3 linked regions of the Yarrowia lipolytica genome follow. The protein of the gene in region 1 purifies or fractionates together with the protein of each later gene. This does not show direct contact. Links are inferred from orthologs where the notes say so. Each region holds a gene or a part of one and is shown in the gene's direction. Other genes may lie near its edges. The genes, in order: YALI1_D18770g, YALI1_E40691g and YALI1_D28518g.

What was found.
Region 2: the proteins of YALI1_D18770g (region 1) and YALI1_E40691g purify together in Saccharomyces cerevisiae (affinity purification with mass spectrometry, with the first as the bait; 3 studies listed by BioGRID). This does not show direct contact. The link is inferred for Yarrowia lipolytica from reciprocal best matches to the Saccharomyces cerevisiae genes MAK21 and NIP7.
Region 3: the proteins of YALI1_D18770g (region 1) and YALI1_D28518g purify together in Saccharomyces cerevisiae (affinity purification with mass spectrometry, with the first as the bait; 3 studies listed by BioGRID). This does not show direct contact. The link is inferred for Yarrowia lipolytica from reciprocal best matches to the Saccharomyces cerevisiae genes MAK21 and UTP20.

Annotation. Positions count from the first base shown.
Region 1 is NC_090773.1:1,873,501-1,884,744, forward strand, and holds YALI1_D18770g (uncharacterized protein), read left to right. Parts: upstream 1-3,550; coding exon 3,551-6,841; downstream 6,842-11,244. Other genes in the region: YALI1_D18833g (uncharacterized protein), read right to left, coding at 8,012-9,838; YALI1_D18845g (uncharacterized protein), read left to right, coding at 11,052-11,244.
Region 2 is NC_090774.1:4,063,690-4,072,302, forward strand, and holds YALI1_E40691g (ribosome biogenesis protein NIP7), read left to right. Parts: upstream 1-5,436; coding exon 5,437-5,979; downstream 5,980-8,613. Other genes in the region: YALI1_E40640g (uncharacterized protein), read right to left, coding at 1-345; YALI1_E40647g (uncharacterized protein), read left to right, coding at 1,051-1,602; YALI1_E40671g (uncharacterized protein), read right to left, coding at 1,881-3,479; YALI1_E40718g (uncharacterized protein), read right to left, coding at 6,319-8,127. UniProt on the Saccharomyces cerevisiae protein: Required for proper 27S pre-rRNA processing and 60S ribosome subunit assembly.
Region 3 is NC_090773.1:2,847,129-2,857,850, reverse strand, and holds the start of YALI1_D28518g (uncharacterized protein), read left to right. Parts: upstream 1-5,429; coding exon 5,430-5,471; intron 5,472-5,776; coding exon 5,777-6,054; intron 6,055-6,109; coding exon 6,110-10,722. Other genes in the region: YALI1_D28569g (uncharacterized protein), read right to left, coding at 1-1,008; YALI1_D28537g (uncharacterized protein), read right to left, coding at 2,938-4,203. UniProt on the Saccharomyces cerevisiae protein: Involved in nucleolar processing of pre-18S ribosomal RNA and ribosome assembly.

The DNA of each region.
Region 1 (11,244 bases):
CCGTTGTTGTTGTTGTTGGAGGCAATGTTTGTGCCTAATTGGTTTCGCGTTCTTTTATGGACGGTGCCGCTTGCGTAGTTACCGTCTCGTGGACACGTCCCAGGCTATGAACAATCATCAACCCCCACATGGTAGACGCAGACAGTACGCTGAATCGGAGTTTCGGATGTTATTTATAGCTGTTTTTGCAAGAGCCACCAAACGCGCCCTTAGTGCCCTGGTGTGTGTTGCAGTGACACCACATTTTTGTGCCACTGCCCACCCAACTATCTGGGGTGGGCGAGGGGTCGAAATCGGGACCATCACGTTCCCCCAATCGAACGTGCTTGAACACAAGTCCATTATAATGGATACTAGCATTTTCGCCCATGTTGTGGAAGGAGGACGAGGGTTCTCATATTTTCGGTTACGATAGGGTTAAGATTATATGCACGTCTGAGTTATCAGGCCATTTCTGAGATGTCAAAAATCGGCAAGCAGGTAGGGTGGTCTCTAGCGATGGGTTGGAGCACAACTGGCAGGCGCAGCGAGCCCAGACAACCGCATCTATGTTCAGCTAACTAGTCTGACACGTCAGATGTGTCATATCTCATCTCGATAAGATACAGGAGGGATGCAAAGTGTGCCTTATAGAAAACTGAGTTTCTTACGCGAACCCAATTTTTTTGCTTCTTGAGGAAAGTGCAGCCTCTCACAGTTGAGGTATTAGTTGATGCAAGGGAGTCCGGCTGCAGTATAAAAGAAATGAGCATGTACACGTTACAACCATCACTACCAGGCCGTAGATTTTCACGAGTTTTCTGCTCTCAATTCAGTATAACAGCAGTGCCGCTTTGGTGACCTCCGAACCATGCCGAGGCCGCCGTATGGCGTGTAGTGTAACGTTAATCCGTACTTGGAGTGCCGAAACCAACAGTACAACGACAAGGGAGGGGGGGAGGGGGTTCAACTAAACATACCGTACAAGTAGTATCTAACAATCCCATCACATGACTTGTCCAGCCTCGAGGATCTTTTTTTGCGTTTCTTATTTCCTACTCGTTGCTTATTTCATCTGCATGAGGCCGATGAGCCGATGAACTAAACGCCCTGGTTTGCATTAACCGACCCAACCGAGCCGTGTGAGTGATAACTGAATCATGAAAAACAAATGACCACTTGGTGTGAAGACAAGTCGCAAGTACTTTTTTGTGTGGCCTCATCACGCTACTGTACTGTATGTAGTGAAGGAGCTGCATTTCGTCGTCTTGTTTCGATTCCGTCTCTCTGCTTGGCTCCAGCTCTTTTTTCTCTGTCTCTGTCTCATTCTTATCTTTCCAACATCTCCGTGGATGGCTCCCCCGCAAAAACCGTGTGTAGCAGCAGTTTCAAGGCCGGCATTGGCGACACGGTGAGTAGTCGTGACGAGGCTCTCTCTGCCCTCACCCCCCACATGACGAATGAATGTTAATCTCTACCACTTGTGCTCGATATGGTAATGTATGCTGCTTTCACATGGAGGCTGCTTGGATGTACTATTGCAAGCGAATTGTCCACAGGTGTAAAAACAACAGCATTCAATGGATAGTGGCTATGGGAACTAGCCTGCGGCCTCCAACGGCCCAACCTAGGTTGCACGTGTTTAATGACTCTCTTCGATAACCGTGGTGCCAGCTTTCCGAAGTAACGTGTCTGAACGTGATTGAATCAGGCACGAGCGGCGCTTGAGTACTTACCCACAGTGCTTTGAATTCCGGATATGTCGGACATCGACCTAATTGAAGCAGGACTGCAGTTGTCTGCAAGCAAAGTACAGGTGGGTACGGGAATGTACTGTACTTAGACAGTCCAAAAGCTCTCTTACTCACGTTATAATACAGTAGAAAACTTAGGCCATCTAATTGTATGGCTGCTTGTAGTAGTGTTTTATCATATCTACTGCCCCCCGGAGTTGCTCCATGTATCATCCATCTCCAGTATTTGAGACATTTTAGACCATTAATGTAGCGATATGTGTGTGTGAACCAGCAGCGTTTTGCTTCGCCAAAGCGTCTTTTGATTCTATTGTAGCCAGTTACTCACTCTTTGCTCTGTCTCAGTCCGCTCAGGTGAGGCTCTGAAACCAGCATGTGAATTGTTTCAGCGTCAATGATGATATATCGTGCCGGTTGTGTGGAGAAGAAAGATCGACATTGTCATCATCACCAAACCGTGAAAAGTGAACCCCAGTATCTCAAGGGACTTGGACTGTTACACTTGTACCCTACTTGTAGCCATGGTAAGTGGTATCTGAAGTCCCCGTTCAGGCAGACTAGAATAATCACCAGAATCCACATATTGTGCTTGCTTTTTCGGATCTCGTGATGAACGTCAAGCCATAAACCGTATCGAAGTGTTTACTCCTGTTGGGGAAACGTGATCGACTCGGGAATGTACGATGGCCAAGCATAGTTGCAAAGTAATGACGCTGCAGAGCACTGAGTCGCAGGTATCAACGTGTCACTGAATCACAAGAGAATCTCCACGAGTAAAAGTAGGTACTACTTTGTAGTACATGCGATACTCGACCGTGCAAAAACACAGTGCTACAGTCTGAATACCGTGCAGTATCACAATGTTGAACCTCGGGAGGGCCGCTGTTACTTCCCTGGTTACACATGAGACGCCAACACATCGGGTCGAGCAGTCCCTAGGGCAATTTTATCGTTGGTTCTATGTTTTTTTCCCGTCAGACACCTTCGTTTCTTCTTTGGTCTGAACATTGCTAGTGGCTGTTAGTGACACCCGTTGATTCCCACGGGTCCCAGAAGTTTCAAACAGGTACCATATCTGACTCATTGAAACAGATAGGGTAGTATCATCCTTACGATCAATCTAGAGAACTCACAAGGTCACATGTCCGGCGTACGGTACAACTGTTGTGTATGTACAGGGACATGATCGACCGAATGTCAAGTATGTACTCGTACGGGTAGAACAGAGAATGAGGAACTTGGTAGAAGCACAATGTACAAATACTTACAAGTTATATATCCGAGTTTTACAAGTATTTGCTTCCATTTTTACTGATTCATTCGCAAAATCACGTGTTTCTCAAATTGTATAAGCACTTTTACACACATATAACGAGCCTCGTATACCCTGTATGTACTGTACAGGGTACGAAGAGGTGACAAAGCAATCATTTGGAAACACAGGAGCCACCCCCGAATCCAGCTCATGTAAATACAAACCCATATATAGAGCAGAATTTCTGTTTTTCACTTCTCTCGGGGGATGTCACTGTTTGTCAACTTAAGATGCACTATCGCGGTTCATCTCTCAAAAAGATTTTTCAAGAAATACAAAAAAAAAAATCATAAAAAAGATTATAAGTTTGTTATAGCTGTAATTATTTTTTCTTGCTGTATTTATTCTCATATCAGGTCTTTCAAATCGCTACTTGCCGTCCTTCTCCATTCATAACCTCTGAAAATAATTTAAGGTTCATGCACGACTGAAAAAAATATCTGAAGGTTGATTTTGATGCAGGATATTTTTCTCTCCACCACGACAGCACTACACATCGATAATGTCACTGGAAACATCGTCGTTTTCCAATTTGGCCGACAAAATCAAGGCCAAGTTGGACACGGCCAACGATAAAAACTCCAAGAAAAAGGACGCCAAGAATGCCGTCAAGGCTGAGAACAAGGCTAAGAACGATGCCCGAGAGGCCAAGAAGAAGGAGCATGAGCAGCGCAAGAAGGAGGAGGCTGAAGCCATGAAGAAGAAGGCCAAGAACTTCAACAAATCCAAGTTCGGCAAGAAGGAGGAAGAGAAGGTCACTGAGGTAAAGCCCTCGAAGACCAAGGGATCTGACAAGACCGAGAAGAGTAAGGGGTCCAGGACCAAGAGCCAGGACTCCAGCTCGGACAAGTCGACCAAGACCAAGACCAAGGAATTCAAGCCTGATTCTCTGCTGGCCGAGATCCTGGAGCTCGGAGGAACCGAAGAGGATCTCAAACTCGTGGAGGACCTGTCTGATGGAGAGGATGATGTGGTTGTGAACCCTTCAAACGGCTCCAAGATTGATTCTGGAGATCTGCTCAAGTTCATGAAGGACATTGGACTCGATGGAGACGTTCCTCAACTCGTCGAGGATGTCAAGGATGAGGACGTTGAGGAGGAACAAGAGGAGGACGATGATGAGGGGATGGAGGATGACGAGGATGAGGACACAGAGGAGGACGATGAAGAATCCGAGTCTGACTCTGACGACGAGCCTGCTCCCGCTAAGCCTATCATTTCTACTGGCCCTTCTGCCAAGGAGAAGCTTATTGAGGCCATGTCTCTCCCCCAGGACATCAAGACTCCCACTGCCGTGCCTCCTCGTCCTGATTGGTACAACCATCAGATTGACGTGCCTGAGACCCTCGAACCCATTTCAGAGACTGACGTCGAGTCATTGAAGGATCAGGGTATGAAGCTGCTCAAGCAGGATCAAGACACATACAAGGGCAACCAGCAATCGTCGCAACAAACGTTCATGCAGCAGATGCTCACTTCCGGTACTCTGAGTGATAAGATTTCCACTTACACCCTGCTTATCCACGACTCTCCTCTGCACAATCTCAAGTCGTTCGAACAGCTCATGTACCTTTGTAAGAAGAAGGGCAGAACCTCTGCTCTCCAGGGTCTGGAGGCTCTGAAGGACCTGTTTATCAACGCTGGTGTTCTTCCTGATCGAAAACTAAGATGGTTCAAGAACCAGCCTGTCCAGAAAAACTCGGCACCTGAGTACCTCGCCATCTGGGCTTTTGAAGACTGGCTCAAGACCCAGTACTTTGAGCTGCTTCAGATCATGGAGGGAATTTCGCACGACACTGTCACCCATCTGCGGTCTTCGGTGGTAGCCCACATTGTCGACCTTCTCAAGGCCAAGCCTGAGCAGGAAGTCAACTTGCTCCGACTGGCTGTCAACAAGCTGGGTGACAAGGATACCGTTGTCTGCTCTCAGACGTCATACCACCTGCTTCAGCTCATGCAGGCCCACCCTGCCATGAAGGGTATTGTAATCAACTCCATCTGGGAGCTTGTTTTCCGACCCGGCTCTGACTACCATTCCCAGTACTACTCTGCCATCACCCTCAACCAGAGTATTCTTACATCAAGGGACACTGATCTGGCCAACACTCTTGTCACCAACTACTTCCTGTTGTTTGAGAAGGTGCTAAAGGAGAACGAGGCCGATTTCGACAAGGATCTCACAAAGAAGGACGCTAAGGATACCAAGGGCAAGCATAAGTCGCGTCACAACGCCGGCAAGGGTAAGAAGGGAGGTGTCAAGCAGCAGCAGAAGACTGTCGAGACACAGAAGGACGAAGCTAACCAGAAACTCATCTCTGCTATTCTCTCTGGCCTGAACCGAGCGTTCCCCTTTTCTAATCTGACAGAGGCTGAGTTTTCTAAGCACATTGACTCCCTTTTCAGAATTACTCACTCTGCCAACTTCGGTACAGCCATCCAGGCTCTGTCTCTCTTGTTCCAAGTGTGCCAGGACGCTCAAAAGGATCGATATTACCGAACTCTCTACGAGTCCCTCCTTGATCCCCGTCTTGTTGATTCTTCCAAGCAGGGACTATACCTCAACCTGCTGTTCAAAAGTATCAAGGCTGACACCAACGTTCAGCGAGTCCAGGCCTTTGCTAAGCGAATGGTGCAAGTTGCTCTTGGATGGCTCAAGACTGGCTCAGTAGTCGGTATGGTTTACCTTCTGGGAGAAGTGAGAAAGATCTCTGGCGGTGTGGAGGCCCTCTCCAACGTTTCTACCGGCCTCGAGGAGTTTACAGATGTCAAGGAGGAGGAAGATGATGGACTCATGGTCAACATTGATACCTCTAAAAAGTCGGTGGATAGCGGCGAGTCTCAGACCCACAAGGAGGACTCTTACGATGGAAAGAAGCGTGACCCCTTGTTCGCAAACGCTAACACCACCTCTCTCTACGAGCTTCAGTTCCTTCTGAGACACTACCACCCTTCGGTGACTGCCTACGCCGAAAACTACGTCAACAGAGGCGAGTCTCTGGCCAAGCCCGATCTTGATCTGCATTCTCTGGCCCACTTCCTCGACAAGTTCGTCTACCGAAACCCCAAGCAGCAGCAGAAGCTCAAGGGTAACTCTATCATGCAGCCTCTGGCTGGTGGAGCTGCTGCCAACAACCTGTTGGTCGGACTCAAGGGCTCCAACACTGCCCAGCCCGTCAACGTTCAGGAGTGGAAGGATCGAAACAAGGACAAGGTTGCCCCCGAGGATGTCTTCTTCTATAACTACTTCCAGCCTAAGCAGCTTAAGGAGGAGACCAAGAAGCTGTCCAAGGAGGATGAGTACCAGGATATCGGAGGTGATTCTGAACTTGACGACGACGAAGTTTGGGATGCTATGGTGAAATCCCAACCCGACATTGATCCCGAAGAAGACGACATCGATATGGACATGGACGACTTCTCTGATGACCCTGAGCTCGACAAGATTGATGGTGAGCTCGAGGAGGGAGATTTCTCCGACTTCTCCGATTCTGATCTGGAGGAGGAGAAGTCCGAGTCTGAGAAGCCCTCTAAGAAGGACGAGGCCGCCTTCTTCGAAGAAGCTGAAGACGAGGATGAGGAAGGTGCTGCTGACTCTGATGATGAGCCTGCTCTAGACTTCTCTGACGATGAGGATAACCTCATTGCTTCTGACGACGAGGTCACTCTCAAGCGAAAGGCCGGTGATGATGGAGACAAGAAGCAGAAGAAGAAGAAGTTTTCCGACCTGCCTACTTTCGGCTCCATGGACGACTACGCTCAGTACCTGCAATCCGATGATGAGGACTTTTCTTAGAGGGTGTATGAAAATAGATTATGGTAATAGATTGTTTTATGTGAGCTGCTGTTTGTATAACTTGGCGACCAAAGAGTCTGGAATCTCCAGATGGTTCTGGGATCACACGTTTCCAGACAACCAGACAACCAGACAACCGGTTCGGTCTGTTACCTTCCAGGTCTGAAGTGATCTGGACTTTACACTTGTATGTGTAGATACATACCATTTTACGAATGTACATACTACTGTACAGTAAGAGTTGAAATTGTACGGATAATCCAGTTATATTTATCCAACAATGTTTATAAAATCGTCAAAAATCAGAAATAATCTAACAAAATCGGAGAAGAAAAAGAGGAAGCATGTTCCGCACTACAAAAGCTTGCAATATAATTCTAATAAGTGTATATACAAACGTACTTGTACAAGTACGCTTTGACAAGGCATGGCCATTCTGATACAACGGATCAGGCGCCGATATCAATGGGAGGCTCATTCAATCCCTTTTCTGACGTTTACTTGGGGCTTGTCTTTGCTTTTGTTCAAGCGAAAATGGATGACCAGCCACGCGACGAGCCACACAACCCCAAAGGTCGTGATAATCTCCCTCCAGGCCCATGCTTCCGACTTCACATCTTTGTAAAGAATGAACAGCCCCACAAATAGCAGACCTAGTCCAGAGCTCACAATCTTCTCGTGGCTAAATCCATCCAGAATATTGCATTGTGGACTTTCGTACGCCGCTATTCGTTCTTCTAGGGTCGACATTGTGTCAATGTTGATAGACGATGCAGAGAGCAAGATTGAGTTCATGACGGGTAGGAATAGATGATGGATTATATTTGGGTTACAAGTGCGTACCAGCAATTTTTTTTACAGCAATTTTTTTTACAATAATTTTACTATTTATGGAAAATCTACAAATAATAGTAAAAGTAATGGAGAGATTAATTCACCGGACGTTCCATCGAGAATTGGCCCAATCAAGAATTAATTAATAGCGTCACACCTCGTAAAAACATACTCCCGTGCTCGGATGTCTACATACTGTATAATATCACAACAATATTCAAGCAATCTAGGCTCATGTTTTCGGTGGATGTAGTAAAAAAACATGCGCAGCAACTTCATTAGCTAAATTACTGATACTCTCTATAAATATGGTCATCTCTTTGTGTTCGTTTCGCCTCACTTCTTTGCGGTATTGGTGATCAACTTTCGTAGATCCCACAAATAGTCTCTATCGAACTTGGCTCCCACTTCGAACCACCCAGCTGTTTTCCTGTTCCATCTCTCCTCCTGATGTTTCAACTTTGACACAAACTCATCAGAAAGATCAAACTCATGCCCGTCAGCTGCTCCACTGAAACCCCGTCCTCCAAAACCAATGGAAGTGGGCTCCTCCTCCAGGTCTTCCAATCCCTCAAGCTCGTCAATATCCACCTCCATGCTTTTCCAGCACAGCTTGACGGGGTCAAAATACATATTTCCAACAACCTGTGCGCCCTTAGTCGACTTGAATGCAAGAAGAGCAGGTTTAGCCGACTCAAATCGCTTCAGATCGACGTCATTACCTTCCCACAACATCGTTGTAGGGTTGAACGACATGGAAGAGTTAGTCGGGGGTGTGAAGTGAGTTCCTAGCGGCCGAATGAGGCCACGTTTGGCCCGGAACCGGGGTTCACGCACTCTGACCGTTCCACCTCCATCGCGTGGTCCAGCACCGCCCAGGTCACGGGCTTTGATTGTCCCATCACGCGACCCTCCGCTCTCACGGGACGTAGGGCCCTTTGCCTTGAGCATGGATGCATATGTCGGATTCCGCACAGTGCTTTCGCGGTAGGCCTCCAAAGGCTTCACGGAGTCGCGTGTAACTGTGCCAAAGTCGCGTGGGGCATCTCGTGCCACATCCAGATCATCCAGATCATCAAGCTCAAACCCATCGAACTGGATTCGCGATTTGGGTCGACTCAACGTCTTCACAGTGTTGTACTTGCGAAGACTCTCCAACGAGTCCACCTTGACTGTGTCCTGTTTGCGACGGTCTCGAATGTTCACCATGGACTGCGCCGGTCGGATTTGTCTAGTGTTGGATGCTAGCTTTGGACTCGGGTTGACTCTTAAAGCTGGTTTCAACGACGGCAAAGATGGCATGTGAGATAGGCCACGCATTGTCGAGCCGGAGGTGTTCTGACTTGCCCTCCGCTTTTGAAGCTTACCCACGGACTTTCCGTTCTTCAAGATGTTCTTGTTGACAGTGGACTTGACATTCACGAAAGAGTCGTCGTTGAGCTCTATTCCGTCAAAGAAGTCATCTTGGGCTGGTTTTTGCTGCCACTGAGCTGCCTCGGCTTCTGCTTCCGCCTCGGCGACTCTCTGGCGTTCCTCCAACACCTTGCCAAGGTCGATATTGTCTAGGTTGGGCAAATCGAAACCCTCGCACATGTCGCCTTCCGGCGCGTCTGTCTCAGAGTAGTGGGAAGAAGCGGGTGAGAATATCGACGTAGAGGGCGATTCGCGGCCCTTTGATGGAGAACGTGTAGGCGTCACGGGCTCAGGAACGTCCAAGCCACTGGGGTAAATTGTCTTTTTGCGAACGGAAAGAGGGGTAAAGTCTGTAGGGAGATCAAATCCATCTTCAAAGTCGTCTCCCCAATCAGTGTCTCGCGACTGGTGCTTCCCTTGTGTCGTTTTATTGGATTTCTGTATGCTTATCTGTGGTTTCAACGTCAGCGGTTTGCCCTTGATAGTGGGAAAGTCGTCAAATCCTTCTAAATCGTCGTCGGAAAGAACTGTTTGTAATGTCGTAAAGTCCGGCATGTCATCCAGACTGCGAAAGTTCTTCATATTCGTGACAGGTCGTTTTATCGGCGACTTGGTGGTTGAAGTCGCGTTGGAGCCCAGTTTGTGTATCAGACCACCAAAATCGTTGTCTTCGGAAGAGGAGACCGTTGAGGTAGACGCGCGCAGCACGAGGTCTGCCTCATCGCCGAAATCGTCGTCCCAGTTCTCCATGGGGTTTCGTTCTATTAATTCGATGTGTTGAGTAATATCGTAGGTGGCTGGTAGAGGGGGTCATGTGACTAAAACTAAGAAGCTGTGGGAAATAAGGTTAGAGGTTGTCGGTTCGAGCCGAAATCGGGACGTAAATATTGCAGAATTGGGAGGCTCCATTGTGGGCGCGTCCGACGTTTTACAAAAAAAAAACTGAAGTCGTTGTTTCAAGGCCCCAGTACGGAAAATTTGGAAAAAAGGAGAATAAATAAATATATATATAAATAAATATATAAATATATAAAATAAAAAAATAAAAAAAACTCCCAGAAGAGACAAATATGGTGTAGCAAAATAGATGTGCGGTCTAAATAAACGTGTTCAACAGATTCATGAAGCCGCAACAAAGCTTTCCCCGTTACACATCAATGGGACCTTTTGATTGAAGATGTTTGAGTGCCGATGTTACTGATATCCGGTACACAGGATCGTACTACAAGTACTTGTTTTCGTACCACTTGTTGTTCGAGTACTGAGTCCATTGCTCCTGGTCCTTCAACCCAACCGAAGACTCACCACCAGTAGGCACAACGCTGAATAACATGTCCTACATCCATGTCCAGTAATTTGACACTGTGCACTTTCAGGTTTCCACAGCGATAAACATCCGTCGGATTCAAACACAGCGAACACTCCACATTGTGTCTAGTCCACCATACTCCGAGTGAACATGCACGCCAGCTCGTACTTCCTACACCACTTGTACACTCGTACATACATGTTCAGCCATGACGTACACTACCGTGTACATACTGAGGGGCCAATGAATCATCGCTTCTATAGAGATCGAGAATATTCATCTACTCGAGTATGTGCGAACCGAGGTGAGTAGCTCACGCCCAATTTCAACTTTTTACCACGTTTCTCACCTCCAACTTCCCAACTGCAGGAGGAGTCAAAATGAGTCGCTTAAGTGGGTCCTCAGATGACTACTCTGCATGACTCAATTGAGTCATCTGAATTGCAACTCTACTCAGGTATGAACCTCCCAATGACTCCCGGTGACTCTCGATGACTCCCTTATCTCCCAGTGACTCAAATCTCAACCAATCAGCGTAACACCATATTCACGGCGAAAAGTCGGCATGGCGGGGTTTGCGGGGTCAACAAAAAAACGTATATATACCCCCAACTCACCCCCGACTTTCGTCCCAACAACTCTTGATCACAAACTATGCTCCGAACAACTCTTCCTAAAGTGTCCACGCGTGTTTTTGTGCGAAACCTCGCCTCCCATGCAAGCTTCCAACCCACCACATCTTCTGCTATCAGAACCAACTGGACCAGAGATGAGGTGTCCAAAATCTACAACATGCCTTTGATGGATCTTGTTTTCAAGGCCGCCACCGTGCACAGACAACACCACA
Region 2 (8,613 bases), on another chromosome or scaffold:
TCCGGGGGGCATCCAACAGGCAATACCTTCAAAGTCGCCAATGGTGATGACCAGTCCGTTCATCAGATGGGCGTATATGATATATCCGAAGATTTCTTCATCGAGTTTGCGGGCCTCGGCCTCTGTACGGCCGTCACAATGCGACAGATACCGGTCGACCTCATCGGACTCAAAGCAGGCTGTGATGCATTTAACGGCAGGTTCAAAGTCTTCAACTGTAAGTTTTCTGATTGACATGGTGAGGATTAGGTGAAGCAAATGGGGTTGGGTGAGGTTCTTAGGGGAGGTTTGGAAGATCGCGTAGGTCGAAAGTGGAGGATATAAGTAAGTAGGCAGGGCTCTCATGCACCGGCCAAAATGGCGGCTAAAATTCCGATATCAGCTGGGTTAGGGCACACGTACTTTAAACGCATCCTCTATCCAAACTCTAAACATTATCTTAGTTGTAACGTCCATTTTACACTACAAGTCTAGATTTTGGGTGTCCGATGGCGTTGGGACATTTGGAGGGAGCGGGAAAAGACGTTACTATATAACCCATCTGAGGAGCGTGGGGGGGTTGCTCCGTGTCGTGTGCCCTCACCGTGGACACGTGTCACCTCCACACAGAATAAATGGCAGACTATTTCCCCACATGCAACTACCAAAACACAAGGGGGTTTTAGTTATCTTGTTTGCCGAGGGTCTTTTCCCAAAGAGGAAACTACATCCTCATATCTTGTGCATGCATATGTACCTTCTCCTCTCCAAGGCCTGGAGACATTTTGAAGTTAGGAGGAGACGGAAAACGTGTCTTGTGCGGACAGCGTGGACTACGAAACCTACGTCTCAGGAAACAGTTTCCGTAGTAGGAAATGTGCGAAATGCACTGTCTCTCCATGGATTAGTACCATGCTGACATTTCCAGCCCGGGGGAATGGATCACAGTTTAACTCCGATTAAATGTTGACCGACACACCCAGAGCTGCTGGTGCCAGTAATTAGCCACTGTAATAACAGGCAACGGATGTAAGCGGCTAGCAGTCTACTACTCCTACTCGTGCAGAGATAATGGGGCCTTCCACAGCTTTGCGGTGGCTCCTCGAGACACATAGACTTTCTATCGACCGCATATTTGTTATCAGGTCGGAGTTGGCGGGACTGAACTTTAGCAACTCTGCGGTTCACGATCGAGGGGGGGTGGTGTTCCGATACAAGGTTGTGTATTGGTATCTAAGTAACCTCCTTGTGTACCCACGCTGTGTACTATTGCAATGTTTATTACAATTATCCCCAAGTTCTCTAACCATTGCTAAGGTCCAAAAGCTCACTCTCCACCTTCCCCCATTCCATCATCACCACAAACAGTGTAGCAGTTCTCAATATGAGAAACTCTGCGTGAACGGAACTCTGAGGCAAAGCTGGCTGAAAGTGAAAAAAAAAAACAAAAAAACCAAAAAAACAACGTGGTTGTCGGGATTGCAGTGCCGTGTGAAAATAATGAAGGCGGTGTGGCTTCAACAAATATACAGCCAAGACATTAATAGTCGTTTTTTAGACTGGCTAGCGTTTGCTGCTGCTTCTGCGTCTTCACACGATAATACACTACCTGTTGTCTATTGACATTCTGGCAAGTCCTATCTCAGGGTACAAAAACAAGTACATACCTGTACAATTACTCGTAGGAGGAGTACAGGAACGAATTCGTTCACCTGAACACAATCCCCCAATATCTGATAATCTTCCTTTCCCTCACCCCCTCGCCTAATCTAACGTTCATACACATGGTTTATGCGAGTGCCATTATCGATAGCGAGTTATGAATATAGATAGGATTAAGTTATATATGCGATTATCGCAGTCTTTTATTGTAAGTCCGAGCAGAAACGGAAGTGTTACGCTTAGTAAGGAACACCAAGACCCTCGGCGATCTTCTTGCCAAGATCGTCGCTGATTCGGCCAAAGTACTTGGCGACCTGCTCCTTGAGACCGTGCTGCTTGATGGTGGAGGCATGGTCAACAACGTTGTCAATCATTCGCTGCTTGGCAGCATCGTCGTACACTCTCTCGTACAGGTCTCGGGGTTGGGCTGCATCGCTCTCCTGGAAACCAGACAAGTACAGGTATGACGAGCTCTCCCAGATCTTCTCGTTGTGCTTCTTGGCAGCCTCGGCCTGGACCTTGAAGGATTCGTCCTCCATCTCCTTGGTGACCACTCCGCAGTAATCGTGAGTGTTCTTGAAGTCCTCGTTGGGTACGGACACGGACTGGATGGGTCGGATCGTCGACAGGTAGTTGGGTCGGTTGCCCTGGTTGTGGATGGCCATGTTTCCGTCTCGCTGGAAGTTTCCGGCCATGAATGGGCAGCCAGATCCCTTTTGGAAGGTTCGGGCCTGGTTGACAGGCAGCTGGTTGAAGTTGGGACCCAGTCGATGTCGAGCAGTATCGGGGTAAGAGAAGAGTCGGGCCTGGAGAACAGGATCATCAGAGGCTTCGATACCGTGGATCAGGTTGGAGGGAGAGAAGGCGGCCTGCTCAATCTCCTCAAAGAAGTTCTCGGCGTTCTTGTTGAGCACCAGCTTTCCGACCTTTCGCAGAGGGAACTTGTCATAGGGCCAGGTCTTGGTCATATCCAGAATGGAGTATTCCCATTCCTCGGCCTGCTCGGGAGTCATGGTCTGAAGGGAAACGGTCCAGGAGGGGTAGTCTCCGTTATCGATGGCAAAGAAGAGATCCTTCTGGTCGTGGTCCGGGCTCTTTCCAGCCATCTCAGCAGCCTCGGGTCCGGTGAAGTTCTTGACTCCCTGGTCGGACTTGTAGTGGAACTGGACGTAGGTCAGCTTGCCCTCCTTGTTGATCATCTTGTAAGTATGAGTGGAGAAGCAGTTCATGTGTCGCCATCCATTGGGGGTACCTCGGTCTCCAAACATGTACACCACCTGATGCAGAGACTCGGGGTTCTGGACCAGATAGTTCCAGTAGTTAGAGGCATCATCTCCGGCAGTCAGGTTGGTCTGGGGGTCTCGCTTCTGAGAGTGGTTGACATGGATGAACTTGACAGGATCTCGAATGAAGAAAACAGGAGAGTTGAGACCAACCATGTCCCAGTTACCCCAGTCGGTCTTGTGCTTGACAGCGAAACCTCGGGGGTCTCGAGCAGTGTCGGGAGAGCCTCGCTCACCACCAACGGTAGAAAATCGCACGGTGGTGGGGCATTTGTAGCCAATCTTCTGGAAGGGCTCGGCGTATGTGATGTCGGAGATGTCATCGGTCACCTCAAAGTAGCCATGGGCTCCTCCTCCGTTGGCATGGACGACTCGCTCGGGGATTCGCTCTCGGTCGAAATGGGCCAGAGCGTCAATCAGATAGGTGTCCTGGAGCAGCAGAGGGCCGGTAGGGCCGGCCCGCTGAGATGAGTAGGGATGGTGGGGGTAAGGAACTCCAAAGGAGTAGGAGTAGACAGCGTCGTCCTTGGAGTTGGCGTAGAGTTCTTTGGACATGGTGGATTGATCGTGGGGGCTGACTACAGCTACACTCCGCTTTATATACGGATCCGCCGCCCAAATATGGCCAGATAGCAATCATCTAGGTTGCAGACCACCTGCGCCACGGTTCCCTGAACAACGTTACAGATCAAACGGTAAAGCCAATTGCAGCCGGGGTCCAATGAGAGGAGAAGTATTGCTATTCAGGCGGCATCCTGTGCTTTGGAGGGAGGTGACCGTGTTCAATGAGGTGCGACAGGCCTGCTTTTGGGTGTGGGTCTGCAGCATAGAATTGTGTCGTAGTGGAGACACCAACCAGCCGGGTCATGTAGACTCTGAGGAGTGCAATGATCCAGGGATAAGGATTGGATGTACACCTGGATGTACACCGCCGCCACCACCACACTACACTTCCAATATGTACAAGAATTTCAACACACAAAGGCCAGAAGCCGCCGCACGTCATCTAGGTTGAGTATCCCGCGGGTTACGAGTACTGGGCATCAAGGCACCAGTTCTGAGCTTATGGATGTCACCTCCCAAATAGAATTAGCAACCCTACTTGTACATACTGTGCACAGGGAGACAGGCTCGCTTAAGCAGGTCTGTGATGACTGCGATGAGATGAAAAGGCTGCAATTAGAAGTGTCGAACGAGTTTGGAAGGTGGAACAAAGCTTCTCACTCAAAACCGGTTGTGACTTGTGCTGGACACAGTCGACTTGTACTACAGTACCACCAGAAGTAGCTCGATAGTGATTACCCACTTCCGTGGACAAAGACCCCCCACATCCACCAAGGCATCCACTCTGCATCCGTCTGCATTTTGTTACGCCAGCCCCGAGACACCCCCAACTGGATGTGATTTAGCTTCAACTGGTGGTGAAGAGAGAAAGAGCATCCAATGAGGTTGGGGCACTTGTCAGGAGACACAGACACAAAAAGGATTGCAACACACTGTCGCTTCGGAAATCATCACTCCATGCTGCTTTTCGAGCCTTCTGTGGTCCGTACTGTACAGTACATGATGTGGTGATGGCAAGAGGAGCCGTGCCTGCCTTGAACACTATTTACTATTCACCGACATGTGCGAGACGAGACGCTGTATTTGCACAGTACAAGGGTCAGAGCGGTAATTGGACTACACGTCTCAGGTGGCGTTTCTAACCCTCATTATCTCGGACACTGAGCACTTTTGCTAATATGAATGCTTTTATTGGTGGGTTTAACCATAATCAGTCCATGACAGCACAAGTAAGTAATTAGTGTCAGGTTGAGACAATAACAGAAAGCAGAGACAAGACAGACAAACTCCAGATGGCGAGCTTAGAGTGACTAAAGCAATTACAGTACTTGTACGAGTACACGTACGTACTGGTAGTTTTGGTGCATTGCTGCATCTGATGTGATTAGAAATATAGGTCTAGGAGGTCTTGTGTTTCCAGACAGATCCCGGTATTCCACTTGTAGCTAGAATCCAGATAACGCACAGCTGTATCTTTCACACACCATCGCTACAGAATTCAGTAGATGGGCTGTGCAGGTTGTAGGTTTATCTTCAATGTCCTGTCATTATTAGTTGTTTCAATGCCAATGGGGCTTCACTTGTGGTTTGATAGTTTTTTATGGATTTTTCTTCGATTTTTCCTACCCTGTTTCGTTAAATTATTTTTATTCTCAATATGTTTCGTTTAGGGTACAATGCTCCTTCGCTGCTTACAGTTCATCGATGATCACAGTCTTCGACGAGCATAACGTAGATCCGTACAGAGATGTGTTGCGTTCCAATACCAACAGTGACGTAATCAACAGTGACTCTATGCTTCTATTTCATTTACTTTCGTTTCTATACTTGGACGACATTCTCCTTTCTTCCCGCTGACTAAACATCTGTGCGGCTCGGAAATATTTTTTCTGCGTTTCCTGCAAGGCTAAATATTTTCAGCCCTCAGCATCAACACATACCACACACAATGAGACCTCTGACCGAAGAAGAAACGAAAACCGTGTTCGAGAAGCTCGCCAACTACGTTGGACGAAACATCTCGCACTTCATCAATAACGAAGACCCTCACGTGTTCCGGCTCCAGAAGGACCGAGTCTACTACGTTGAGGAGAAGATTGCCAAGTATGCCACCTGTGTGTCTCGAGCCCAGCTCTTCTCCGTTGGCACCTGTCTCGGCAAGTTCACCAAGACCGGCAAGTTCCGACTTCATATCACCGCTCTTCCTCTCCTCGCTGCACATGCTCGACACAAGATCTGGATCAAGCCTAACGGAGAGATGCCCTTCCTCTATGGTAACCACGTTCTCAAGGCCCACATCGGTAAGATGAGCGACGACATTCCCGAGCATGCCGGAGTCATTGTCTACTCCATGAGCGATTCTCCTCTGGGCTTTGGCGTCAGTGCAAAGTCTTCTCTGGAGGTCCGACGTCTGGACCCCACTGGTATGGTTGCTTTCCGACAGGGAGATGTCGGCGAGTACCTGCGAGAGGAGGACACTCTTTTCGCCTAAGCAAAGAGGTACGCTACGGAATTGGGGGTTGTTTTATAGATGGAGGCAAAAAAAACTGACACGCATCAGCACAAACGGGCTTCAATGTGCGTTTTGTGCATCTACCATGGATCGGTCTTTATCGGTCAATAAAATAATGAATGGATTTGAATTTACTATAGACGAGATTTCGTGTCTATGTCACATTACTACAGGATTAAAAATAATCAGCTATAGCTACCGTATACGTGGACATACGTAACAGCTTTCCATGACTTTAGACATGATTACCTACTATACCCAAAGCGAATATAATACACCTGTATTTCATACATGTAACCATTTTTGAGCCTTCACCGCTTATTTCTTTCCCTTCTTCTTCTTGCCCTTGGCCTTGGATTTGACCACAGTGGTCTTCTCGGCAGTGTTGCTTCCCAGCTCCAGCGAGTCGTCCACAGCTCCTCCCTGAGTGTTCTGCACCTTCTTTCCCTTGACCTTCTTGGGCTTGTAGGTGGATCTGTCTCGCTTGGCGAGCCATCGCTCAGGGTCGGGGGTCACGGCAGGGTCGGCGTTGGCAGGAATCTTGGTCTTTCGCTTCTTGGAAGTCTTAGTAGACACCTCGGCAGATCGCTTCTTAGACTGGGGGATAATGACGCCGACCTCCTCGAGGTTGTCTACATCGACACCAGAAATGAGATCAGGAATCTCTCGGGTAAGAACCTCCTGGGTGCCCAGAGCTCCAGACAGAGCGATTCGGGGAATCTCGTCTCGGGGCTTCTTCTCCACCAGCTTGAGTAGCAGGTTCTTGGCCTTCTTCTGGTTGGAGGGCTTATTGCTCTCGAGCAGCGACAGAGCGTATGCCAGGGAGGCAGAGTAGGGGGCGCTGTTCTTCTGCCATTGGGTGTTGGCCTTCTCGATGAGCTTGAGAGCCAGCTTTTTCTTACCCATGAGACGCGCGATGGACGACGTAGCTGCAATCAGACCAGGGTAGGGAGCCAGGTTTTCGGGTAGGGAGTTGATGTAGGTGGTCAGAGCGTCGTAGGCTGCCTGCAGACGACCCGTCAGAACGTAGGCCTGTGCAATGGCAAGAACAGAGCCAATGTTGGTGCACTTGGGGTCCCGCTTTCGCAGAGTTTCTATGAGGTCCTCGAGATCGCTGTTTCCGTTGGTAGCAGCAACCACCTGGGCAGACACGAGACCAGGGTAGGTTCGGGTGAGCTTCTTAGCCAGCTTAGAAGTGTCCTTGCCAGCTGATCCCTCTAGAATCAGCCGGTTGAGGGCAAACACCTTTCGCTGGGCCTGGATGGCGGGTCCGTTGGGGGCAGTGGGGCCCTTGGCGGTGGAAGACAGACCCAGGCCGTGGTCTTGCAGCTTTCGCAGAGCCACGTTGGGGTTGAAAGTGATATCGGGAGACAGCGTGACGGCATTGTTGGCGGCAACGAGATCGGTCAGACCACTGAGATGCGAGCCGGACTCGGCAACAGAGTCTAGGATTCGCTTGGCCTCAGCAGTGTCGCCCTTGAGTTGGTGAATGTATGCAGCCTGGATCTTGACGGTGTCAATCTCCTCCGCGGGCATGTCTGCCTCGGAGCACGCGACCTGGGCCTGCGACAGTAGATCGAGCGCTGAGTCATACCGGCCCTCACTGAGCTCGGCGATGGCCCGGTTGAAGAGGAAGTCGTGTGACGACTTGGCTGTGGATGTCATGGTCAGGGGGAACACTCCCTGTCTGTGCAGCGCCTGTTGGGCAACGATGGCGGACTCATTGACAAGCAGATCCAGCTCGTCTATTCCGGTGCCCAGCAGCTCCTGTGTGAGCTCGTAGGCTCGGTCAAAGTCCTCCTCCTTGTACGCAGCCTGCGCAGCAATGTGGATCAGCCGTGTATCCTTCTGGGCCGTCTCCAGCACCTTGGCGAGCTCAGCGTGCTTGCCCTGGCGATAGTAGATGTAGGCGGCCTCAAATTCCAGGCCAGTGGTTCCCTTGTCCTGGAGAACCTGCTCGGCCTCGTCAAACTTTTCCAGATGGATCAGAGCCACCAGCTTGTGTCGCTGGATGTTGAGGTCCTTGGGGTCATATTTTTCGGCCTGGCACGCGAACGAGTACGCCTGGTCGTGGGCCGAGGCGGCACTGCTCACGTTCAGCTTGTCGATCAGAGTCGTGAGATCCATGGTTTGGTGGTCGAGATGGTGGAGTGAAATTCGGGATGACCTAAAAGTTAACTCACGTGCTGTATGGAAATTTCACTACATGACGTAAAGTATGTACAGGGACGGAAATACGACCTGATAAAACAACCTGGCCGAATCTGCTTCGAGGGGGTGTTTGATCATCCTATTTTCTTCTCAAATCTACACTCTCATCGCTACCCCGCAGTCTGTATAACCACCGCAAATCTCAAGGTGGCCTTAACATACATCAACTTTATTTTCCACTCAAAATCCAGGATCTGGTGGAGCATAACAAAACAGCTCCCTCAACTAGAATCTTAAGTAAAATCGATGGCTGGGTTTTACAGAGATGACAATAATTTCAAATTATGTGTGATGAGGTAGTATTTATGGCAAGTAGTCTTATTCAGTGCCTTTATATATTTCGGCAGGTGTATTTTCCAAATCTCTACCAGATCAGGATCCTCGAATTTGTACCCCCAGCTG
Region 3 (10,722 bases), about 970 kb from region 1:
GGAGAAGGCCTGGGCGTTGTCGACAACCTTCTGCTGGTACTCCTTGAACTCGGGAGACTTGGCCTGGCCAAGCGCAACGGCCAGAGCGGTGATGGTGTGGTTATGGGGACCTCCCTGGTGGCCGGGGAAGACGGAGAAGTTGATCTTCTCCTCGAGGTTTCGGTCACCGTCCTTTCGGTAGAAGATCATGGCACCTCGGGGGCCTCGAAGAGACTTGTGGGTGGTGGTGGTCACAATGTCCGAGTACTCAAAAGGCGAGGGGATGACGCCAGCGGCAACCATACCGGAAATGTGGGCCATGTCAGACATGAGAATGGCGCCCACAGAGTCGGCGATCTCTCGCATTCGCTTGTAGTCGATCAGACGAGAGTAGGCGGAAGCTCCAGCAACCAGCACCTTGGGTCGGAAAAGAAGAATGTTCTTGGCGAGCGTGTCATAGTCAATGAGACCGGTTGACTCGTCCAGTCGGTAGGGCATGGTGTTGAAGTACTTGGAGATGTAGGAGATCTTCTTGGAGGGGATCTGGTAGCCGTGGGAGAGATGGCCTCCATGGGGCAGGTCCAGGCCCATCAGTCGGTCACCGGCCTCCATGACAGCGGAGTAAGCGTAGAGGTTTGCGGGGGCACCAGACAGGGGCTGGACGTTGACTCCCCAGACCTTGGGGTCCAGGTTGAACGCCTCCAGGGCTCGCTTCTGGCACAGAGACTCGGCCTGATCAATGAACTCGTTACCACCGTAGTATCGGGCGCCAGGGTAGCCCTCAGAGTACTTGTTCTGCATGACGGAGCCCAGGGCGTTCATGACGGCCTGCGAGGTGAAGTTTTCCGACGGGATCAGGGTGATGGAGCCGATCTGCCGGTCGGTTTCCTTCTTGATGATGTCTGCGATCTCGGGATCGGACGCGTACAAGGTCTGCTGAGTCATCTGGGTATCGGGCGACGCCTTGGTGGCGTAGGCTCGAAGCAGGCCTCGGTTGAGAGGCCGGGAAAGTCGAGTGAATCGCTGCATTTGGGGGTGGAGACTTGTGTCGTGGGATCAGAAAGTGGTTACACCGGGAGGTGGATTTTTCCGTAAACTGAGTTTAGCGAAAGTTAATTTGGGGGGTGGGGATGGGGCAAAGAGTCGGGGTTGGAGACACGACAGAGACTGGACGAGTAGATTGAAGGTATGGGGGCGACTGTCGGGTTGGAATGGCGGTTTCGGATTCCCGATCGGTTGCGTATTGGTGGAGTTAGTAGGAAGTGGTGAGGTTAGTACAATGAACACACTGGAGGCTGCTGGGTGGTGCAAGGGACTGACCAAGAGGAGGTAGCGCAAAGGGAAAAAGACAGGTGGATTCAAGAGAGACAGAGGGAGCCGGGACCACCGTGGTATTTATGTTAGATGCCGTTTTGAACCCCACAAACGCCCCGACAAGGACAAAACACGGGCCGACTCGCTTATCCGCAAATTTCAAACTTTATTGTTGAGTCACTGAGTAAAGTGGGAGGGGGGAGCGACAAGAGTGCTGGATAATGGAGTGTTTTGGTATGGCACGGGGTCGGTTTTCACCGGTAAATCTAGAGGTTAGGATGAGTGAATGTGATTGGTCCATTTTACAAGGGCGGTTTTCACACATGAATCGGCAGTAATGGCCGCTGTTTGTTGCGATTGGTGTTTGTAGAGTCACTGGCATGTACCATGCGAGTAAATTGTCTGTTGAGACGTTAAGTCAGCAGACATGTGTGAAAAGACCCCCGAACTCGGTGTGGAACGCCTTGGATATTGCAATTGAGGGCCGCTCTGAATTTTTGCAATTTATTTCTGGTTTTCTGGGGACAATAACGGATATTGAAAACACGCGGCCAAAAATATCTTTATCGTTATCTCACACCAGGCAGCAAACTTTGTCATCGAGCAGCAACAGTCGGTAGCGGGGGGTTGTAGACAAGCAAAAAAGGCGAAAATAATGAATGCGAAACCACCGGTCACGTGACAAATAATGGGGCTAAACTGGCTCTTTTTTGGCGTCATTCAGTCACGAGGTTGAATCACTAGTTGGGGAGTCGTGAATCACTGAGTTGAGCCGTGAATCACTGAGTAACGGAGTTGAATCACCGAGTAACCGAGTTGGGAAGTCGGTGAATCACTGAGTTGAAACGAAAGGGTGTCACTGAGTAAGAAAAGGGGTGTGGAATGATAAGTGATTGCGGCAGTCAAAGGGACTCAGCTTGAAAAGTGATCAAGCCATTGTTTACTATCAATGAGTACAATGTACGTTACTGTAGACAAGATCAGCAAAAGATATCGTAGAAAATAACGGAAAAGTGCATCTTGTTTATAGAGTCTTTGGATCCAAATATACCTCTAAATCCCCCACCTGAAACACTCTTAGGGTCACCCCGCTCCCCGATCCAGCTTTATGAAGCGTGCGTTATGATGCGTGCGGCTTCCTCGGCCCCAAGTGTGGGGTAAATATGCAACTTTTTTTTAAAAAAATACAAAAAATACAAATAATTCACCCGAAACTTATACGGCGGTTATCGGTGGGACCCCGGAGATTGAGGTCGACCAGGAGCAGGAAAGAAACCGCAAATAAACAATTTCGTTTCCAGACTTTTTTTTTTTTTTTTTTTTTTTTTTTTTCGAACGGCGGACATTTGTATCTCGACCGGTAGTGTCAATGTCTAGGTGTTACCTAGCTACCAAGTTGTCTAGAGTGAGAACAGGGCTTTTCAACAGATGTAGAACAAGAATCTGAGACTGGTTGTAGAATTCATTCTACCTCAGTGACTAGCCCATCTTCCATACGACCATGTACACGTGCACTGGATGTACGTCTGTTCGTCTGGCTCTGGTGATGTCGGCGTCATCGGCTAGAGGGGAGTCACACAGTTGCGATTGTTGTGCGTGTTTCAACGTCTGTTAGGAGTCCCATCAGATCCCTTCTGTTCCACGTCAGAAACTCTCCCGCTTTGATGACATACTCATCCAACTCTTGCCAAAAAGATCCCCCGTGGTCCACTCCCTGGTCACCGGTCGCCGTCCACGCGCATCGTCCTCACTCAAGCTCACCGCCCGCTGTTTCAACACCGCCCGCAGCTCAACAGGCAGCTCGGCTCCATGCTGGCTCTTGTACTTTTCAGCCAGATATTTCATGGTGTACCTCCAACACCCCACAGTTCCATGGCTCAGACCAACCATCAACAAATGATCTTCGGGCTCGTTAGCTCCGTTGTAGTCGGCGAAAATGTCGCTGGAGATCTGCGACAGGATGCTCTTCTGTCGCTTCTTCAAATCGACAATGCCAGTAACTAGACCCGTGGACTTGTATATCAAACAGTACTGCGAATGCTTCTCGTCCTGGTACACTCTGTGGAACTTGTCTGGGGGTCTGTTTCTGTCGGACGTGATCCTGTGAGTGACTCTGGTGACCGAACACCGGTATCGTCCGTCCATATCGACATTGTAGACATTTCCATCGTAAAGAACCATGCCGGCAGGAGGCTGTCGCCGTTGAGCGTGTAGCATCTCTGAACACCGTGTAGGAGTGATCAAGTACAGGACTGAGGTATGATCGTGTCTTCCAAATACATAGACACAGTCTCCGATCACCTGCAGCCGCAAGGGAGGCTTGCAGTTCATTTTGATCGACTCAGGAGCCTTGTTGGGGTACTTGACCGTCAACATCAAATGGCCCTGATGCACAGATATTGCTGCAATGGCCCGGGACGTGTGTCTGGCCTGAATCATCCGTCCCTCGACCGTCACCCCAAACCCGTGGTATTTGATGGTTGTTCCTGCATCTCCAAAGCTCACCCCGTAGTTGCAAGGCACAGCAAAGTCCGTGTTCAGATCGCTGAGGTCCAGCTGCTTCTCGTTGAAGCAAATGCCCCGGTTGTTGTAGTCCCACGAAAATGTGCGTTCCACGTCGGTACACAGGCACTCAAAGTCGCGCGGCAGAGGCGAGTCAGTGTGGAAGGAGCATTCCACAAGGTCAATGAACACGTCAATGTGTCTGTCGCGCACGTAATGGGCGCCGCCGGTCCTCCAGCTCCCGTGCTGGCTGTATTCAAGGCGGTAGTAGGGGCACTGCTGCATCAGCTTGTCCCGCACCAGCGACTCGGAGATGGACTGGCGGTAGTGGCGGTTGGTCTTTCGCAGCGCAACAATGTCTGCCAGCTCGAGATAACTGCAGATTCGTTCAATCAGCTCGGGCAACATTGGGTGTTGTTATGGACGGCTTCTCCACCTCCCCCCCAACGGTAAATCTTGCTCATGTTACCCTGGGGGTTTTTTTTTTTTTATCTCTTAGTGCCATTTCCGAACCACTTGCGGACTAGGCGGAAGAAAGGGCAACCGAAAAGAGACTGATAGCCCTCAGTTATCGGCCTCCCTGCAGGACCATTTGTGGACAGGTGTCCCCTGTTGCATAATCGGCCAAATATATACGAGCATGGGGGAAAAAAGAGGTGGGTCGTCTGTTGATAGGCTGGACATAGATTCGTGTAGAGAGTCGAAGATACGACACTATCGACGGCTAGAGGAGCTCGTAAACAGAGCCCTACAACTAGTTGGGTGGTGTAGAGAACAGCTAAGGCCACACCATGGACCGTTTAGGAGCAGTCTAGAACCACCGATACCGAAGCTAGTGGAACAGGCTAAGTTTCACGGCGATTATCGACGCTTGTGGAGCCACTCGACGCTAGTTCTAGACTTGTTGCCATGTGGATAAAGCGATCCATAGTCGTTTTAGCGCTGTTTTATCTGGCGAGTGCTTTCGTCAAGTGTAACCGGGCAATGTTGAAGTTGCAATGGTGAAGTTGCAATGTGGAAGTTGGAGAATGTCAGTCTGAGGTGTGAGAGACTCCGCAGTCTCGAAGGGTAGGAGCACTAGGACTGTGCAAATAAATAAATGAATAAATAAATGGAATAAATAAATGAATAAAAAATAAAAAATAAAAAAAATAAAAAATAAAAAAAAATAAAAAAAAAAAAATAATACAGAAAAAAAATATTAAAAACAAAAAAAATCTTTTTAGAACAAAAAAAAAAAAAAAAAAAAAAAAAAAAAGCGGAAAGAACAGCGTTAAAAAATACTGTCTTGAAAAAGAAAAAAAAAAGACTTTTTAGGAAAAAAATTAGCAAAAAAACAGTGTTAAAATACCGTTCAGTTACTTGACAACCCCTCCAACTACCAAGTTACTTGAAATCTACCGCTCAGTAGCCACCAATATGTGACTACCAAAACACCACTGAAATTAAACACCAAAATAAACACCTCAAACACAAAACAGTCACTAGAATCGAACTCACATCTCCGAACCACCCTGGGTACAGTACTATCATCACCACTAACCCTAACCCGCACATGCATACTGCAAGTCTAAAAGATATTTTTTTTCGAGAGGTTGAAACAGACATCTACGAAATTTCAGAAACGGTCCAACATGGTTCTTAAAACTGGAACCGAGTCGGGTAAAAACCACCGAGTGAGTATGGGCGACATGGAGGGCACATGAGCTGTTGGACCGCCTCTAGAGCGATTGTGAGAGGAGTGGAGCGCCATTCCATGTGGATCTGCAAACAGTAGCCGAAGACGGATCTGGGTGGCAATTTGGAGATCGATTCGAGCTACAAGTATCGTAGACGGTTTTCATGGGTCTGTACGAGCATACTGATGTCACTAGCTGTGCTTACTGGGCGATCGCCACCGCCAGGATCATAGCTCCAGGAGATACGTTAGACCTACCGGATCAGCTGTTGGGCTGAGACATTCAATTCCATACTAATGCAGTTCAAATCGTTCCGAGAACGTCTTGATGCCATCAAGATCGATCCGCTGAAACGGCAGAAGAAAAAGCTGTCGCGGGACACGGACACGTCGCATTTCATTGCATGTTACACGACCCATGTTGAGCTGAACTTGTCCACCAGCTTCACTCGTTTTATGGAAAAATGTGGAAAGTACGCCGTGTCGCTGCCCATGGTGCTGTTCCACAAGGAGGAGATTTTCGATGGTTTGGAGGAGTGTCTGGAGGATGGAAATGAACACAGTGTGGAGGCCCTGCTAGAGTGAGTATGAGAAATGGAGGATGGAGAGGAAGTCCCCGATACAGAACTAACCCAGTCTACTCACCAACTTTGTCCGCGACCTGGGCGAGGAGTTCGAGCCATACTTCCCCCGAACTCTCGCACTTCTCATCAATCTCACCTACCACTTCAATCTCGAGGTGGTCGAGCACACTTTCAACGCAATGGTGTACATTTTCAAGTACCTGGCTCGTCTATTGACTAGCAACCTGGTGCCCCTGTACGACAGCGTCAGTGTACTTTTGTCCCGAGGAGATGAAGATGTGCAGATGATTGAGAACGGAGAAGAAGACGAGGAGGAGATCCCGGAGGAAGACTCTGACGACGAGGAGGATGACAAGCCCAAGCCTAAGAAAATCAGACCGTTTGTGCGAAGATTTGCCTCGGAAACACTGGCCTTTCTGATCCGAAAGTGCTCCCAAGACGGTCTGGACGTGATCGTGCCGCACGTGATGAGCACGCTGGAGGGCTCGTCACGAGATTACGTCTCTGCCGTCTCCGCCATGTTTGCTGCGTCTATCAAACACACCAAGGGAGCTCTTCATTCAAAGACGGACTTGATTCTTCAAGTGTTATTTGCATGTGCGGCTTGTGACGACAACACAATCACCGAGGCCGACCGAGTACACGTGACCATGATTTCAGAGACTTTGGCCGTTGTGCTGGAGCATATTGAGGACCCTGTCATGGGCCAGGCCGTGTTTGATACCTTTTACCAGTATGCCCAAGGCAACGGTAACTACGATACTGTGACCTATCTGACTACTATAACCGCCATCCGAAAGGGTTCCCGAGTTCCTGATTGGGCTCGAGTCTTCCAGGAGGCCAAGGCTTTCTGCTCCACTCTCTCCGACAAGGCCATTGTCGAGTTCGCGCTCCTGGTGGTCTCGCTCATCCAGAACGGCGCCCAGAGCAATGTGCTGGCCAACCATACGTCCTTGCTCACCACTCTGTCGTCCAAATCACGTGAGCAATACTTTGTGGCGTTCCAAATTCTTGCCAAGGTCCAGAGTCAACGGTTCACCGATATCTGTGTCAAGTACATTCCTCAGTTGATCAGCATGTTCTCTGATGATCTTTCGCAGATTGCACTCTTTGTCGACAGTCTGGAGAAGATCAAGTGTCTGGATGCCTGCAAGGTTCTGAAGAAGGAGATTGTAGCGTTTGGCAAGAAGAACATGTCCACTGAAACAGTCTTCAACCTCTATTGGCGAATCAGAATGTTCACCAAACTTTCTAATGTCGATATGAAGAAGGAGATGACCGAGTTTGCCATTGAGCTACTCCCCAAGCTCTCCGCTGACGACGTGTATACTGGAGCTCTTTACGGAGTCACTCTGAGTCTGATTGGGTCATTGGGAGACGATAAGCAGCTGGTGGAACGAGCCCTGGGCCGCCTGGAACACTTTTCACAAATCGAAGGCTACATTACCGGTCTGCTGGCCATTTGTGACTCTTCAACCAAGCTGGATGACTCGTCACTGGTGCTGCTGACCCAGAACCTGACCTCCGCAAACACCCACGTGCGGGACGTGACGCTGAGCCTCATTTCGAAGCTGTCACGTGGCCAGAACGCGCTCGTCAATGAGTGCAAGGTCATTTCATCCATTCCGTTTGATTATACCACGTTGCGGTCTCTTGTTCAGCGAATCGAGAAGCTCGGAGAAACCTTCTCCCTGTCTGGGTCAGATACGATTGCTGATTCAGCAGTGCCTCATTTCCTGTTTGGACTTCTTACTGTTCATTTTACGCCAGCTCACGAGGCTGCCATCAAGGCCCTCAAGAATGTTGCCGAACGATTTCCGGAGCTGGTGTGGAAGTTGTCCTACAACGTTTTGCAGGCACGTGACCTGGTCAAGGTTGATGACGACTGGGTGCCCGAGCCACGTCATGTTCTGGACAGCCCCTTCACCGACTCCATGTCTCCCGACTATAACTTGAATGGTTTGTTTGAGACGTACAATGAGCTTGTTTCTCGCGATAGCAACGGAGCTCTGTTTGAGGACTTTTCCGAGTCGGCTTTCCCTGCTGAGGAGCCCTTTTACCTGCGAAACAATGTGCTGAAGGTGCTCAAGGCTGTTCCTCGGGTGTCTGAGAACCATGTGATGGAGCTGGTTCCCTATCTTCTTTGGACTGAGGGTGTTTCTCGAGATAAGCAGGCTGTTGAGTCTTCCGAGTATGGACTTGCCGACTCGTGGACCCTCAAGGACAAGATTGTGTTGCTGGACATTTTTGCTCTGTTTCACAACACCAAGAACTGTCCTCGAGCCGAGGAAATTTATCAGAGATACCTGCTGCTTCTGACCAACAAAATGAACTCTGTTCAGAAGGCAGCTCTTCAGTGCATCCTATCCTGGAAGAACAAGGTGGTTCGCAAGTACAAGGACAATCTGTTCAACTTGCTGGAGGACTCGCAATTCAAGGACGAGATGCTGAGCTTCCTCAAGCCCTCAAAGGACCGAGTTTTGCATGAAGACGACGAGCATGTCATCTTCCCTCTGGCGCTCCGGATTCTCTACGGACGATCTCGAGTGGTCAGCAAGAGTGGACCGCGGTACGGAAAGCGGTTCGCGGTGCTTTCCACTCTTCTGGCTCTACCCGAAAAGTACACTCGCATGTTTGTTTCTCTGGCAATCGACCAGCTGGAGATTCCCAAGGACTTTGACATTCTCGGTGATGACCACGTGATCGAGCCCAATCCTCGCGACCTGGAGACCCTGTCGGGCAACTGCGAGACTCGAACTGCGGCGTCTCAGATCTTCTTTCTGGAGCTGGCCATGGATCTGGGTAAGCAGATTGGAGCCAAGTTACATTCGTCCATGGACATTCTGCTCAACTCGGTGCTGTATTGTATGCATTATTCGTGTCTGATTCCAGACAACACCTCAGCTCGTCGAATGTCTCGGTACGGCTTCAAGGTGCTGACTCAGCTCTTCCTCAAGATAAAGGACTTTGAATGGCAGCCCTACCTGACCCCGATCTACTACCCTTGTATAGAATCTAAGCTGCCGACTTTTGTTGCTGGAAACACCAAGCGACCCAGTGCTCTGCTCCAGATCACGTTTCTGTGGGGATCACGTGCGCAGGCCTTTCCCCTGTTTGTGTTTGAGGAGGTGGCTTTGCTGAAGCAGGTGGTGGCTCTGTTGAAGGTGTCTGATCTGCCCGACTCGACCATCAAGGACTGCATTCTGCTGTGGTCTTCGATTTTCGCCATTGAGGATCAAGTGAATGCTGGCGAGTTTGATCACGTGGTCGACTCGACGATTCCTCTGTTGTTGCCCCGCATTCCCGCCCTGCTGGACGAGCACAGGCGCAACTTTGACGTCGTGACCACCATTGCAAAGCTGCTGGTGATCACGTGTCAGAAGGGCTATGCACGTGATCAAAAGGTCAAGAGCGATCTGATTGCTGTTGTGACCGATCTGGTGGTGAACAACAAGGTATCGTGGTCCATTCAGGTGTCTCTTTTGAACGCTCTCACCGAGCTGGTTCCGGTGACCACCCTCGCCAAGGAGCACGTGACTGAAATGTATCTGAACCTGTCCACTCTTTTCCAGACCATCAAGTTGCAGAGTGCACGTGACGCGCTGGTGAACGCCTTTTGTGTTGTCTGCACCAAGCTTGGAGGTGTCGATCGCACGGCTGAACTTGTCAGCCAGCTTAACTCGGTTGGCAAGCGGCTTAATGAGCCCGACTGGGACACTCGAATGGCCGCCTACAACGATATTACTCAGCGGGAGTTCTCGTCTTTCTCTGCCATGGAGTGGACTCCTCTAATTAGTAACATGTTGCATTTCATCCGTCTTGACGATCTGCCGATCCGACAGAACTCCACTCTGGTGCTGATGCGGTTCTTCGAGTCAATTCAAGAGTCCCAGCCCGACAAGATTGAGCTCATCGACGACATTGTCATGCCCGAACTGGTGGTGGGAATGCGAGAGCCGCAGTTCAACATTCGAATCGAGTTTGTTCAGGTTCTTGAGAACCTCGTCAAGTTGTCTGAGCGTCATTTGTTCGAGCCCCTGAACGACCTCGTCACTCTTTTGGCTCCCAACAAGTCCGCTGATGCCAACTTTTTCTACAACGTGATGCATGTGCAGATTCTCCGACGACAAAAGGCGGTGCAGTATCTCAACTACTTTGTCAGAAAGGGGGCTATTTCTTCAGACAACATTGCCAACCTTCTGTTGCCTCTGATTGAGCATTACGGAAAGAGAAACAACCAGGAGACGCAGAACTTAGCCCATATGACCTACAAGTGCATTGGTTCCATGACCCGGTTTGTCACCTGGGAGCAGTACGTCAAGATCAGCAAGCGGTTCGTGGGCTACCTCCGAAAGGGCTGCCAGAGCCTGAAGCAGGCCTCCAGAATGCTAGCTGCTCTTGGTGTGGCCTTCACCGAGGACGACTCCCGCGAGGAGGAGGACGAAGAGGAAGAGGAGGAAAACACCGAGGAAATTGCTGAAGAGGTCGAAGACGAGGCCATGTCTGATGACCGTGAGAACTACTCAGATGCAGTCTACACTGTTCCACGAGCTCCCAAACTCATCTCCATGGACACGTCTCTGTTTGGAACCACCTCTACCCCTGAAGAGAGATCCGCTTTCCTGCTGGAGAACGTGATTCCTCCCATTCGAAAGACTCTTCGTG